Linked DNA regions of Stegostoma tigrinum. The protein of the gene in region 2 purifies or fractionates together with the protein of the main gene of each other region. This does not show direct contact. Links are inferred from orthologs where the notes say so. Each region holds a gene or a part of one and is shown on either strand. Other genes may lie near its edges.

Region 1 (7,594 bases), on a different chromosome or scaffold from region 2:
AGGCAGATGGGACCAATTTAGTTCAGGATTATGTTCAGCACGGACCAGTTGGACCGAATGGTCTGTTTCCACACTACGTCTCAATAGCTAAGAACATGACTATGATCTATTGCTCTGAAAGCATAACAAGAACAAAATCTGCATCAATCTTAAATATTGATAACATGTGGAGAAAAGTAATGTTCAAAAGGGATCATTTCTTTGAAAAGGACCACAACATTTCAAGCTGGAAGAGAGTTAAAGACAGTCAATGATGGAAATGTAAAATGAGTATGCAACTTTTATATAAAAGAAATGCTATATATATAAAACTGAACAGCAACTCAGAATGTACAATGAAAACAGCACAGCACTAAAAAAAAAGAATTGTTCAAGAAACTTTGAGAGAGCCACAGGAGGGGATTTTGCCCCACCACCACAGGAACTCAGACATACAAAACACAGAAATGAATCAGGTGCTGACTGGAAGTTACTCTGAAACTTTCGTTCGGCCTTAGTTGCAAACTTACCTCTGAGTTGGACAATCGAGGTTTCACTTCCCACCCCAGGATGTTATATTATGAATGCTGACTTTCAGTAGTAGTACCAGTGGAGTGAATCTCCAGACAGGATGCATTATTTCAAAGAGTGAGGGCAGGTGTCCCTCATGTTCAAGCAGGCATTTATCCCACAGTCAACACCTAAACTAGATTATCTAGTCATTATCGCATTGTTGGTTGTGAATGTTTGCGCTGTACAAATTGGCAATTGATTTTAATACATTGCTATAGTGAGACACACTCTTTCAAAATTGTTTTGGGACATTTTGAAGTCAGGGCAGGTGCAATTTGGAATGATTACCAGAACAACAATTAAATCTCATTAAATAACAATGGAAAGATGTCAGATGGACACATGAGCCATAAGTCATCACTAATCAGATTCACTTTGTCAGGCACAGGGCATACCTGAGTTTTGCAGGTTGATATTTGAGATGGTTAGTTAATTCAAGATGGAGAAAAAAAACATGTTTAAACTGATGATAAAACTCTACCTGGTATCAGCTTCACTCACTATACGATTATTGAACTGAGGTTCGAGAAAAACATACTGAGGCATTAAGACTGTTTATTCACTCAGATCCAGAATTACCCAAAACATGCCAGCACTCTTATTGAAAATAATCCTACTGGCATCAACAATCTTGGAATAACAGCAACAAATGAAACCTTGAATATTGACATCGGGGTAAAAACAGAAGTGAGATGAATTACTGAGAGAGCTAAATGGAGTACAAGGTACTGTGAAACCCAAAGGTAACACAATCGTGTCATCGTCGGTGAGACATCAAATCTCCACCACATTGACGTCTATAGGGAGGTAGGACTCAACAGCAACACTGAGCGACCCCAGCCGTAGAAGACACAGCGACCAAACAAATCTGTAAGTTCAACAGCTCCACTCTAACTGGTTTACTCTGTTCTCTCTGGTAATGTCAGCGTGCAACTCCTTCCTCCCCACAAATATCGCACTTCCCTGAACTGGCGCGCATCTCTGTGCTGTTCATGTGATGCGAGAAAGCCAGGGCTTTGAGAGCTGTAGCCGGAGTTCAAGAGGAAAGTCTGAGGATAGGCTGGGGTGGGAGGGGTGCCGGGGGCTAATGCTGGGGTTCACTTCAAAACAAAACTACTCTCTGGTTCCGCATCTGGACCTGCGATGACAGCTTGAATGCTGTACGTACATTAAAGGTCCTTCATCGTGCATACGCCCTGAAGTAAAAACAGAAATTGTTGGAAAGACTCAGCAGATCCGGCAGTATCTGTGGAGAGAGAAACAGAGTTAACGTTTCGGGTCCAGTGACCCTTCTTCAGAGCACTATGCATTAAATGGACAAAGTTGGAGTTTCAATTGGCGATCGGGAGTCCAGAGTAAACAGGAGGAGGCTCTGAGTGCAGTCTCCAAAGTGGGCTGGAAAGAGGTGAAAGGAGAGAGTGGCGGTTGGGACAGAAAAAAATTCGATGAACCGCTGACTCTGGCCAGAGAGCAATCTGCAGCGAATGTCAGTGTCATGAGGAATTGGGAATGGTTCCTGAGTGCAGACTGTACACACAGCTTCGCAAATGGGCCCGGGGACCTGCGACTGTCTTAAACAGTAGGGGCTGTTCGGAGCGGAATTAAATCAAAATAACATCGATCACCTCTAGTTCTCGTTTCACATTTCAGTAACACCCCAGACTTCGGTGAAACTTCCCGATTGTGATTGGCTGGAATGTCTCGGCTTTACGTTAACATAAAGCGGTCAGGGACACAACGGAGTGGGCATTCAATAGTTTATGGAGAAAGAAATTGTAAACATGGAGTTTAAAAAAATCTACATTTGATCTATTTGACATACAGAATGTGCCAATCAGAGTGGGTTTAGTCACACGAAGCGGGTAGGCTATGTATAATATAAAAGGTCGTATTTAGTACGTTTCTGATCCAACCACAGCAGAAACAGTTTTTGAGATGGGACTAGCTAGACAACCACTGCTGCACTATTGAAACAAAATAGTTTATGACAGATAAAGTTACAATATAATGTGAATAAATAGTCTAGAATTTGCTTCATTTAATTTTTAGTCACTTTCTGAGACGGGCAGTCTAACTTTTATGTTAATTTTAAAATGAATGATGATTTTTCAATGAAAGCCATACATCTGAAAGTCCGACTCTCTCTCTCTCTCAATGTCCGGAGAAAATGCCTGTATTTGTTACCTTAAGCACCCCCCTGTCTTGGTTGGGTGTCAGGTCCTCGGCTATCTGGTCCAGTTCCGTAGCCTGGGCTTCTTGCTCAGTCTCTTTTAGTTCCTGACCCGTGGTCATCATTCAGCCAAAGCGTACGACTTACTGGTTTCCACGAACTGCTGCACCCTCAGCCTCTCTCTCTCTCTCTCAGCTCTATGGCCACTAGGAGACTGCTGGGCGTTGGTGTCGCTCCGCTTGCTTCCTGCAGAGCTCGGTGTCCGAGCCGCTTCCTTGTCGCTCTGCCTCCTCTCAGCGCCGCTCTCCGGGAGATATGGAGACAGCTCTATCCCAGCATTCGTGGCGCGGGTGAAAGTGGCCTATTCCTGTCCTGGTGCGGGGATAGCCGTCATGGGGCGAGGTCAGAGGAGGTGGGGCTTCCAACTGCTCAATGGGGATGGGGAGAAAGGGGGAGGTGTAGAGAGAGGGGGAGTCCCAGGGAAAGGGGGAATCCCAGCGAGAGAGAATTGCAAGAAAGGGAGTATCATTAGATGTATCATTGATGGGATCAAGAGATTACAATGAGCAAATAGGCAGTGAAATTCATGGAGGACACGGGTTGGCTTCCTGTGACAGACCTGAAGACACGTAAGCGCTGTCTCAAGTTGAGAGGAGATTTGTCTTAGAGCATTCCAAAAACAATGAACGACAAAGGTGATATGGATGATGTTACTGGTATGAAGCCCCATTTACTGCAAGTTCAAATCAAACAAACAGGAGCTCTGGCTGCATGGTTTTCTATTTGTAACAGCTCTCTGAGGTTAGGACCCAGACTCGAGTCGAAACCCATGTTTTAATGCAACGTGTTGAACGCCTGAGATAAAATAGAGAGTTCATAGAAGGCGAAAACAAAACTGAACCTATTTCGAACTAAATAGCTACAGGAGAGATCCGATAACAACCCATTAGGACGAATGATCGAAGGCTTTGCCAAAGAAGCAGCTTTCAAGTAGTGTCTTCAAATAAAGACTTGCATTTATGTAACATCATTCATGACCACCAGTTATCCCAAAACAGTCAATAAAATACTTTTGTAGTGAAGCCATTGTTGTAAAGTCGAAAGCATTGCAGACATCAAACTCACAATAAGAAGCAATATGATAATGAACAGACGGTACTGTGATGTTGGCATTTCTCTCTAACCTGATAAAAAAACAAAGCCATAATATACTGACTAAATCAGGCTAAGTGCATAGCTTGGCTTGAGTTCACATTTGTTCAGTATGACATCGTTTAGCATGCCTGGTCTGCACAGTGTGGGATGGGGTGGGGGGAGGGGTGGTGACTTTGGGGATTTGGGGGGTTTGAATTAATTGTCACATAAACTCACATATGTTGAAAGGCCGTTCAACTCACCCAGTTCATATTGACATCTACCTGCTAAGTAAAAATTAATCTTCATTTCATTTAATTCCACTAAATCCACTCGGTCAGAGCTGGTCCAACTTTAGTTAAGTCATTGGAATTCTATAAGAGCAACCTCTTCTGTAGAGGGATTGAAATTGTGGCCATAACACAGCAACACTACATTTTGCTTGGTAAATGTTTAATGCCTTCATTAAATAACTTGTGAAGGGTTAATATCAGAGATCCATGCAGGATTTCTCAAAAGCTAAGACAAGTTCAAATCCAAACAAGCTGGCTTGTTGCAAACTTGAATTGCAATGGTTACAGACAATAGGAAATGAAGTTGCCAATTGGCTAGTGCTACTAATGAGCAGCAGCAATTCCAAGTGAATACGGGAAACACAGCCTTTTGACACAGTATGATTTCAAAGCAACGTTAGTACAGATCAAAGACCCCAGAATGGGATAGTGGATTTGATTGACAGAATCGTTTGTAACCTTTGAGAAAGAGCAAGGGAATTCATTACCTGTGGTCCTTTGATAGACCATTAAATACTGAATTTCCCTATTCTGAATTAGAAATATTATGGAATACAGTTCTCAATTTCCTGAAACAATGTTAATAGTTTGCTTTCACCCTTTGCTCAGTGTAGCATTAAATGCAATGCAACAACAGCCTTTCAAATGGCTAATGGTAAACATCAAACAAATTAACCTGATTCCCGTTGGTAAAAATAAACAAAATTTGAAAGTTTAAAAACAGCCAGATTGTGCAAGCAGTTATGCATTGACTTTAATCAGACAAATCACAGGAAGTTCTTTCAGGACTTTTCTACCATAATTAGTCTGCACAAAGTGTGTTGTATTGTGGCCATGGAGATGTGTCATAACATGTCCAAATACGCTGATTAAAGTCATTGTAGAAGAGTTTAACTTTGCACTAAAAATGCTATACTTTAATTTCATTTAACGTGGTCTTGTGGGGCAGAGGTATTGTTCCCACGTCTCACTACACAAGTTATGGGTTCAAGCCCCACTTGCTGTCTCATAGCATGTTGATTTTCAAAAAAAAATTACCCATAGCCGAGATTTAGAAGAGCAAAGACATATTCTCTATATTTCAATCCTGGGGTTGTCAGGAGTCTTTACTTACATTTATAGGTACTTTGTCTATTCATTCACGGATATGGGAATCTGTGACTAAGCCAGCAGTTATTACCCATCCCTAATTGCCCTGAGGGAAGTTGAGGGTCATCCACATTGCTGTCAGTTTTGAATCACCTGTAGGCCAGACCAGGTAAGGACAATATATTTCCTTCCTTGAAGGACAGTAGTGATTCAAATGGGTTTTCTCCAACAATGTTTTCATGGTCGACATTAGAGTCTTAATTCTAGATTCTTCATTGAATTTAAATTCCATCATCTGTCATGGCAGGTTTTGAACCTGGGTCCCCAGAATATAAACTGAGTTTCTGGATTGATAATCTAGCCATAATACCACTAGGCCATTGCCTCCTTTTAATACTTAGGGAAACACGAGTATTACTTGTGGAAGCATGTTGGCGGAGGAGGCTAAAGACACTTCCATTGGAGAACAGCATTTTCAGTACCAAGCTATAACACCAGAGTCTTGAACAGTTTTTGTTTATGGACTCTTCCAGTAGCATCTGGAGGCATTTGCCACATTGGTCAGACAACGGCCTTGTCTGGCTCAGACAGTTTGTATCCTTCCGCCTAAGAAACAAAAAAAAAAGAGGGGAGTTTTCTTGTTCTACAGACTGGCATGGAACACATGGGCATACAGATCATGATTTGGAAAACCCTTTATGACAATCTCTCTATTTTGTTTGAAATGGATAGGCTTTCAGTTGATTCATATGCAGTTTGTTTGAGATGTCAGACACTTCCTGCTGCATGCAAAATCCAAAATCCAGGAAACTGTCATGTACTTAATAATTAATAGCTGATCCTTATGACTCAGTCGCCCCTGTGTGTGCATTGTGTAAATTCTTCACTAATGACAATGTGCTGTCTTGTTTTGAGCAATGCACAATGGTCAGTACAGTAAGCTATTGCAGTCAATTAAATCATTAATTTGTGCAGAAAATAGGTTGAAGCTTGTCATTTGGAACTGATCAGTTAGACAGGTATATGATGAGCAACAGTATGATTACAAATGTTGGTCACCCAGATTACAAAAGAGAAATTATTTCTTACATGTGGTGGGTAGCAAGCTAATGTATTGTTGCTGAGTGAGTAAAGAATGAGATATAGATCTGTTTCCTAAAATGAGAGAACAATTTAACATGTTAAATGTTTGTACGGGGACAAAAGGCATTGGAAAGATTCTGCAAAAAAGGGCCTCTGATATAAACGAGTCAGACTGACTCAAAGTCTGGAGCTCCACTGGTACTCAATATACCAAGCTTGGTCTTGAATTGAATTTTGGTGAGTTTTTAAAGAGGGAAGTGTGAGTTATGTCTCACACTGTCCTCAACCCCATAAAGCCACTGCTACTGATGGGACCCCTATATGGAGGTTCTTGAATCATTAAACTGACTTCTTCAGGAAGTGAGTACGCCAAACAGTATTAGGATTATAATCCTCAGAAGGATGCAGTGGGCCTCACAGAAGCAGCCTACACTGGCAGAAGCCATTACAGAGAAATCAGCACTGGAAGACCCTAGTAGAGGCTACCCATTTAAATTTAGTGCCCATTGGCCCATCAAGCTGACCATTGCAAAGGTTCTATGCTATAATTCTACATTTATTTGTTCTCATCTCAGTAGCTTGAAGGCAGCTGGTCCTTTTTTAAAAAAATCCTATCTTCTAGAGGAGATCGTTTCTTCTTCAGCTCAAGGTGAGTCAGGAGGTTGTGAGTTCAACTCTCATCCCGGAGATTTGAGTTTAAGGCTTTGGCTCAGGAAGTATAACACCGACAGCAATGCTGTCTTATTGCTGAGGCCCCATTTGACCTCTTAGTGGAACGTAAAGAAGAGTTTTGTAGGGATTCTGGTTTGCGATCAGTAATCTGTTGATTTTTAGGTGGTTCATATTACTGTCAGATCCTTGTTTCTGACACTGGACTTAGTTTGAGAATGTGAAATGAAGGCAGTCATCGGGCGTTTTAGGGGCAAAAAGAATCTCTGTGTTTATTAAATACAAAGGTTGAGTACATTATAAGAAATAAAAACACATAACAGTAAAATTAAAACTATCAACTATACAGAAAACAGTACTTAAATACACTATTAAATTAAACACAGGTTAAAAACTATTAGCAGCTAAACAGTAGTTTCAATCAGCCTTTCTATGCTTGTGGTTCCCTGCACTGTAACTATCCACCTTCCCCTCCCTACTAGATAGTTTGGATACTTTGGGGCCTCAAGAATATAAGCTCACCACTGGGGATAAATGCAGTTTTGAAACATAGCTGGCCATTGCTGCTTGCCTGTATCCAGTGCCTCAATGAAGACTTTGGATG
Region 2 (7,608 bases):
TTAATTATAATTTTGATCTGCATGTCCACCTATCCATAAGAATGATAGCACTTCGTTGGCACTAATTCTATGTGGCCCTGCAAGCCACATGAAAATAGCCAGTTAGGACCCAATTTTACACCTGACACTGGAAATCTTAGAAGGATGCAAAACAATGCTCTTAGAACATCTTAAAATGATGGCAATATTTAAAGCTCTGTGATCGGGCTGTCGTGCTAATTTATCGTAGAGTAGCTCTCTATTGCAATTTGACATTCTTTAAAGGTTGTATGCCATTGGAACTGTGACAGGACGTAGCCTTATTGCATCATTTTAACTCACATACATATCTGCCTGATACGAGGTTGGGAACTTCGGCTACAAAGTTTTTTTTAAAAAAGCGTGGGCAACACAACTTGCTTCTAACCGCATTTTATTACACATTCAAGCCTTAAGGGAAGGCTCTCACAGTCGAGGTTCGAAGTAACGAGCAGCAAATGCTTTAATTTGCATGTGGAAAATTGTTACATACTCCACGTTTTAGGTCAACTACCATTAATTCCTGAACTTTCTCATCGCTTCTGCTACTGTTGACCAAAAGTGGAAATAAAAAGATTGCTGACTGTTTAGCGAACAGTTTCAAAACTACCCCAACCTTAACAGCTCATTTTCAACACTGAAAACAATAGAAGCTACTAGCGATCACAGTGGGTCAGGTAGCATCCATGGAGAGAAAGCAAGCTGACGTTCCGACACTAGATGAGTCTTCAGAGCTGAAGAAGTGATGTCGACTCAAAACGTCAACCTGCTCTCTAACGGCTGCCTGACCCGCTGTGATCTCCAGCATTTTTGGTTTCAGTTCAGATTCCAGTATCTGCAGTAATTTGCTCCTAGCTCATCAACAATAGTTCAGCAAAATACTTTTCACCTGTTACTGTTTTCTGAAATATAAAGATGATATTTCCAGATGTATTTGTACTGATATAAGACTATGATAATTTAAGATTAATGAGGGGTCCAATACAAGATTTGGTAAGCTTAATTTTCAAATACACTGCATTTTTAAGACAACAAATCCAAGTCTAACAAGGTATTTTCTTTCAACGAAATCTAACGTGGAAAAATAGCGTTTCTAATTGCTTTGTAACACCTGATATTAAATATATGAATTTATCAATCAGAAAAATAATTATTTAGGTTTAAGGTACGAAACAAGTTATCAATTTCTGGTCAGTCATGTTCCCGTCCTTCGGGTAAGAGGTGTAACAGGAACAGTTCAAGTCAATTAATGCCTATCGCCTTCCACAGGTTAGTTCAGATAGTTAATTTTGCAGATTATTACAATGAAATTGCTTTCAAGTCATGACGCGCTATCCAGGATTTCATTCGGACGGTTGTGCCCAGAAGCTCAATGCTGTTTTGCAGCTTCTTCAGGATGCAGGGTGAACGGTAGGTGTCGCCAGTCAAACGAGGAGCCAGGCGTTGTGTTAACCTCTGCGTACCTTGGGAAACTTCAACATCCAGACTGATGCACTTTCTGGAATTACGTTTAACGCTACCGTTGCTTTGTTGCTATCAAGTACCTTTCTCCAGCATGACAAAGCGCAGAAATGTATGCCCAGAAATGTAGCACTGCTGGAAATACTGTAAAGCAATCCGCGTCAAATATTGGTGCAGGCTTCAGGAACATGCAATCTGCAATATTATATGTAGTCCCCAAGATAATGCGAGTGAGAACATCAATACGCTGGTCTGAAAATAAAACGTTAATTTCCATTCCAGGTGCTACCTGCATGTCTGTATTTCGAGAATAATCATTTGTAGAAAGCCTAAAGTTAATCTTTAAACCGGTCTTTAGAATGAAAATCGTGTATTTTTAATGAGAATTTTGAAGCATTTCAGTTCACAACTTAAAACGAGCATAAACTTGAACCGACCATTATGATTCAGAAGTACAGAAATAAGTCAGACTTTAACAGCGCAGTCATTTGAATCCCTGTGAAGTTAAGAGCCGAAAAATTCCCCACCTACGGAGGCACCATCAGTGTGACTGGTCCTAGACACGATGTGTATTAGATATGGAAAGACGTCAGGGAGCTAACATCTCTATCCGTTAATGACAGGTCCGTAAACGGACAAGGAGCCCCATAAATATCTTACCATATATAATTCATTATGGCCATGTAACGCTTTGCAATTCATACTGAGCCGCACGTAGATAATAAGTGTCAGTTCTCTTAAATCAGCGTCTTTATTATTCAGCTGGTATCACATCCTTATCAAGAACCATCGATGCAAAACATGCAACTCAGGATTTCTCGAAATGTCATGTATTCAGTTATTTCCAAATGAGCGTAAATAAATAAATGAATAATCCCAACATTTTTAACACAGAACCCACCACCTTTCCACCACCTGCAGAATGCGCAGACTCGCTTCATTCTGCTGCAGCTCCTTAATTTATAACACTGCAAACACCATTGTATATAAACAAAATACAGCAGTCACCTAAAACGCATGCAGCCTTCTTTAGATATCAAGCTTACATCATTTTATTTAAAATTCAATGCGGATACAAGCAAATTTGGGGGGTGGGGGTGAAGAGGAGGGGGGAATATGTCAATTCATTGTTATCGTTATTTTCCTTACCTCCAGCGTTCTTATTTCTTTTTGCGTGAGGTCATTTGATGTGGCACATTTAGTCCTTAACCCTTCCAGACTTGAGATGCTGATGTCTATCATATTTTGGACCAATTCACATTGCTGTAATGCTTTCTGCAAAGTTAGCTGCTGTTCTTCGCTCTTTGCCGTATTGTCTTCATCCATGGCTGGAAATCAATTGAAATTGAGAAAAAGAAATATTTTATTATAGAGCAGCAATGTTGAATAATAAATCTTGAATGGATTGAAGATGTGTTTCAAATTGGCTCCATGCGGCTGGATAGAAACGGACTGGAGACAGTGGCCTTGCTCAATAAAACAGCTTGTGCTGCTGATGCTACGAAGAGCTGCGCGCTACTGCTGCAGGTGTTTTTTGTCGCCGTTCCCAACAGCTTGCACCGGGGAGCTCTTTCTCCACCGACATCTTGGTTGTCAATCAAAGGGAGGGAGGCAGTGCGCCAGCTCTCGCGAGATAGATGCGCGATTGAAATTGTTGCAAAAAGCTCTGAAAACAGCAGCAGAAGAAAGTTCACTGTCGGTGTAGGCTGTTGTTCACTTCAGTTCAATCTGCCACAATTTGCACCTTGACCACCAATGCAAAATTCTTCACTCGTAAAATATGCTGGCGGAGATTTCAATGTGTGGCCACATCACAATAAAAACCCAGCGACTAATGGAAATTTCTTGCCGCTTTTTGAGATTCGTTAGTACATTCTGCAACTGTTCTAAAATCAAAATATGTTCATGACGCTCACTAATGATAACTGAGAACGAACCGGTAGAATTTGAACTGAAAGGTGGCCATTCGAAAGGTGCGATTGACGCTATGCGAACGTTTATACTTAAATAAGGGGGAAGAGGGTTGTATTTCATTTCCCATCACCGTTGCTGTGGTGAAAGTTCAGAGCAGGGGCCTCTGATTACAAAGGTCTAGCCTGCTGCTGATTGCAAGAAAACTGAAATGTCCTCCTTCAAAAAGCATCAATTTAGAATCATGCTAGGCTTTCATTCTTTATTGTATTTAATTCTGATTAGCGTCAGTATTCAGTGCATCAAGTGGAAACTGCATTACATCAACACTAAGCATGTAATGTAAATGCATCCTACAATACTGAGAGACATAAATGATATTTATGACATAAATATATTTATAAATAATTATATATAATTTTATAATTGTATTTATACACAAGGTTTGAGTGAAACCCCGTTGGTATATATACCTACATAAATAATGAGACATAAATATCATTATGTGACATAATGTCATTTATGAGACAAATATAAGCATATTTGACTTTGGTTATAAGTGCAAAGTTATTGTGTACAAGTTTGAACTTAACAAACATCAAGTGAGATTAGAGGGTTTACTTTCCCTTTATCGTATTGGATACCTAGATCAGTAGTTGATGTTGTGTTCACTAACTATGTGATAAAAAAAGATAGCTGAGTGGGAACAAAGCAGAAATAAACTGTAAAAAAAATCCTAAAAAGTTTAGTTTTCAAACAGGAAATGCACAATAAGCCTAAATCGTAAGTATTGTTGCATTAACATCACAATTCAAAAATAGCAAATAGAAATTGAAATCAATATTGACTACTAAAAGGTCAGGGCGTAAATCTTAGTTCCAGTAATATGTCCCTTGTTTATCAATAATTTTTCTACTACTATGATATTTTTAGTGAACAAGGACAAACCTAAATAGTTATTTCTATAAATCAGGTTGCAAAACTGACTCGATCTGGAAGGACATCTATCATTTCTGTGTTTTATTAAGGTCCGTTTTTCAAAAGGATTTTTTATTAGATATTTGAACGCGACAAGTACCTTCCTAACATGTGCCATTGGTAGATTGGTGTTTATTCTGGCTATCCAAGTGTTTATTTTTGAAACCAAGACCAGATTTTTGCAGACTATTCCCTCTAATGGTTAAAATGTGTATTATTTGTCCATATTATAGAATGGACAAATAGTCTTCTTTCATTATAACTGTCTTAAGTTTTCAGTAATGAGATCACTTTATCACAATTTTTTTTTTACAGACTAGTGGGGTTGTGCTACTCTGCTACTATTTACAATAGTATACCCAATTTATTTTTAACCATAAACATTAAATATCTAGCCTTGTATGTCTTTATAACACACCATTGAAACTTATATGACATTCCTTACAATGGCAGAAGTTACATAGTTACATGGAATGGGTGCTTGGATGTGAAAGATGTCTGCATTTAGTCACTGAAAGAAATTAAAAACGGAATGTGCTGGAAATGTTGGAATCACAGATCGGTACTTATTTCCCATTTCTTGTTGAAATTAACCTCTGAGTGATTTGCAGTTTATTTCATAAAGTGTTTAACTAGTTAATGCAGGAGATCACTACCATAAATAACATTTATGAACTTGTTGGAATATTAGAAAGAAAATCAACAGCATAACAATCAATTTTGCTGATACTAGACTTAACTGTCAAGACTTTTAAAATTATAGACAAAATGAAAATTTGGTGAATTTAACTATTACTGATTAGTTTCCTTCACAAATTTCCTTACCAATTGTTGTTAAATAAGTAAATATGTTTCTTCCACATACTTCTAACATAAATAGATAAGCTGCACAAGTGTCACATAGTGTGGAGAATGATAAACTAATTCCACTTTCTACTATGAAATAATACACTTGATTTGTTTCAAATAGTCTGAGTAGTCTTCCTATGGTTGCTCTATTAGTTTTCTTGTTGCACTACATGTATCTTTTTCTCTTTCAAGTAAGCAGAGGAGATATATGACTTGGCTAGAACAGATAGTTTTATACAATTTTAGATTTATGCAGTGCCACATAGAGGTAAGTAAAGAAACACAGTCAATGTGGGGCAGTTTTTGTCTGCATGAGACAGAGCTCTGATGAAGGGTCTAGACCCGAAACATCAGCTTTTGTGCTCCTGAGATGCTGCTTGGCCTGCTGTGTTCATCCAGCTTCACACTTTATTATCTTGGATTCTCCAGCATCTGCAGTTCCCATTATCTATGTTTAGTTGGGAGCTTGGTGAAGCGTGGGGAAGAGGTCTTTTTATTACTTTTCACCCTACAGCAGTTGATTTCATAGTTTAAGCAGCACAAATGAGTAGAATTGTAAGTATTGTATTGTTTTGTCACTGTTTGCAAAGTTTACTGGCAGGGTTAATACTTTTTAGGAGATTAGATTAGATTCCCTACAGTGTGGAAGCAGGCCCTTCGGCCCAACAAGTCCACACCGCCACTTGAAGCATCCCATCGAGACGCATCCCCATATAACCCACACTCCCTTGAACACTACGGGCAATTTAGCATGGCCAATCCACCTAGCCTGCACATCTTTGGACTGTGGGAGGAAACCGGAGCACCCGGAGGAAACCCACGCAGACACGGGGAGAATTATAATGTCTTAATTATAAATGAGTTAATTAGCAATCACTAATTAACTAACACTTTAGATGTGGCAGAGCTAATGTTGTACTGTAATTGCAGAATACAAGGAACTTCTGAGTGCTAATACGATCCAGGGTTAACTCATCTGCAATAAGTGCTGTGGCTGCATGAACTTCAATTCAGTTATTGAGCTGGAAGGTGAGCTTCAGGCGCTGCATCATATCAGGGACAGGGAAAGTTCCTTGGATAGTTTATTCAAGAGGTGACCTTCTGATTAAGTCAGAAGTCAGGGACAGGACAGTGTGACTGAAAGTGAGGCAGGTAAGGGACCTGGTGAGCTGGAGTCTCAACCTTTGCCATTGTGTAACAGGTTTAGGGTTTTCTTAGCTATTTTTGAATGACGGAGGACAGCAGGATGAATGCATTAAATGGCTACAGCATCATGGTATAGGAAGCCATTTAAGAGAGGAGAAGAAAAATAACATAGTGATAGTTGAGGACAGGATACTGAAGGGTCATACACTTTTCTATGCAACAATGAGCATGACTGTCATTGACTGTATTTTCTGAAGTGCCAGGGTTCAAGATACCTGCTCTGGAGAAAAAAAATTACAGTGGGAGCGAGGATTTAGTAATCCTTTAGACTACTACTTGGCATAAGTAGAATTAAAAAGAGGTTCTGCTAAGGGAGTATGAGAAGTTAGATGCTAAATTACAAAGCAGAACTTTAAAGATGATAATATCTGGATTATTTCCCAAACCACATGAAAAGTAGCAAAAAATGAACAAAATTATAGAAGTGAATGTGTGACTCAAAGACTAGTGTGGAAACAATGGATTCCAGTCCATGGAACACTGCCACCAGTACTGGGGAAAAGTGGGATTTGTATTGCTAAGATGGTCCATACCTGGATCATGCTGGATCTGGTGTGCTCACATAACTAAGGATGTGAGGGCCAGGGCAGTGAGGGATCAGGCTTCGGTAAATGTAACAAATCAAGGGTAGAGTTGTGGCAGTTAAACAAAATAATAACCTCAAAAATCAAGGCAAGAATGGAGAAGGAGAGGGAAAACCCAATATTATACTTGTAGTTAGGACAAGGTGCTGCAAAGATAACAAAAAATCTAAATGTTCTATACTTGAATATGTGTAATAACAAATTAAATGAGTTGAGAGTGCACATTGAAGTGAATAAATATGATCTGAAAGCCACTTTGGAAATGTGGCTGCAGGTTGACAAGCATTGGTTTCAGATTATTGAAAATTACGGTATTCAAGAAGAATGCAATGTTACGCAGAAGTGTACTATTCCTAATCAAAGTATTGATTCAATTGTTAAAGATAGCTTTGGCTCAGGGGAATAGGTGTGGATTTGGTTTGGCTGAATCTGAGAAATATTAGGGAAAATAAGTCACTTGTGGGCTAATCTACAGATCCCCAAACAGTAACCACAATATAAGACAAAACATCCACGATGAAATATTGAGTGCTTGTGATTAGGGATGGCATTAATTATGATTGTTTTTAATCTATGTATAAATAGAAAAATCAAACTGGTA

The links. Proteins that work in one complex are often made in the same cells at the same time.
Region 1: the proteins of ksr2 (region 2) and peptidyl-prolyl cis-trans isomerase FKBP5-like purify together in Homo sapiens (affinity purification with mass spectrometry; 3 studies listed by BioGRID and IntAct, with this or other methods). This does not show direct contact. The link is inferred for Stegostoma tigrinum from reciprocal best matches to the Homo sapiens genes KSR2 and FKBP5.

The regions. Positions count from the first base shown.
Region 1 is NC_081374.1:42,890,121-42,897,714, forward strand, and holds the start of peptidyl-prolyl cis-trans isomerase FKBP5-like, read right to left. Parts: upstream 3,070-7,594; 5' UTR 2,848-3,069; coding exon 2,737-2,847; intron 1-2,736. UniProt on the Homo sapiens protein: Immunophilin protein with PPIase and co-chaperone activities. Component of unligated steroid receptors heterocomplexes through interaction with heat-shock protein 90 (HSP90).
Region 2 is NC_081379.1:34,739,209-34,746,816, reverse strand, and holds the start of ksr2 (kinase suppressor of Ras 2), read right to left. Parts: upstream 3,026-7,608; 5' UTR 2,806-3,025; coding exon 2,629-2,805; intron 1-2,628. UniProt on the Homo sapiens protein: Location-regulated scaffold connecting MEK to RAF. Has very low protein kinase activity and can phosphorylate MAP2K1 at several Ser and Thr residues with very low efficiency (in vitro).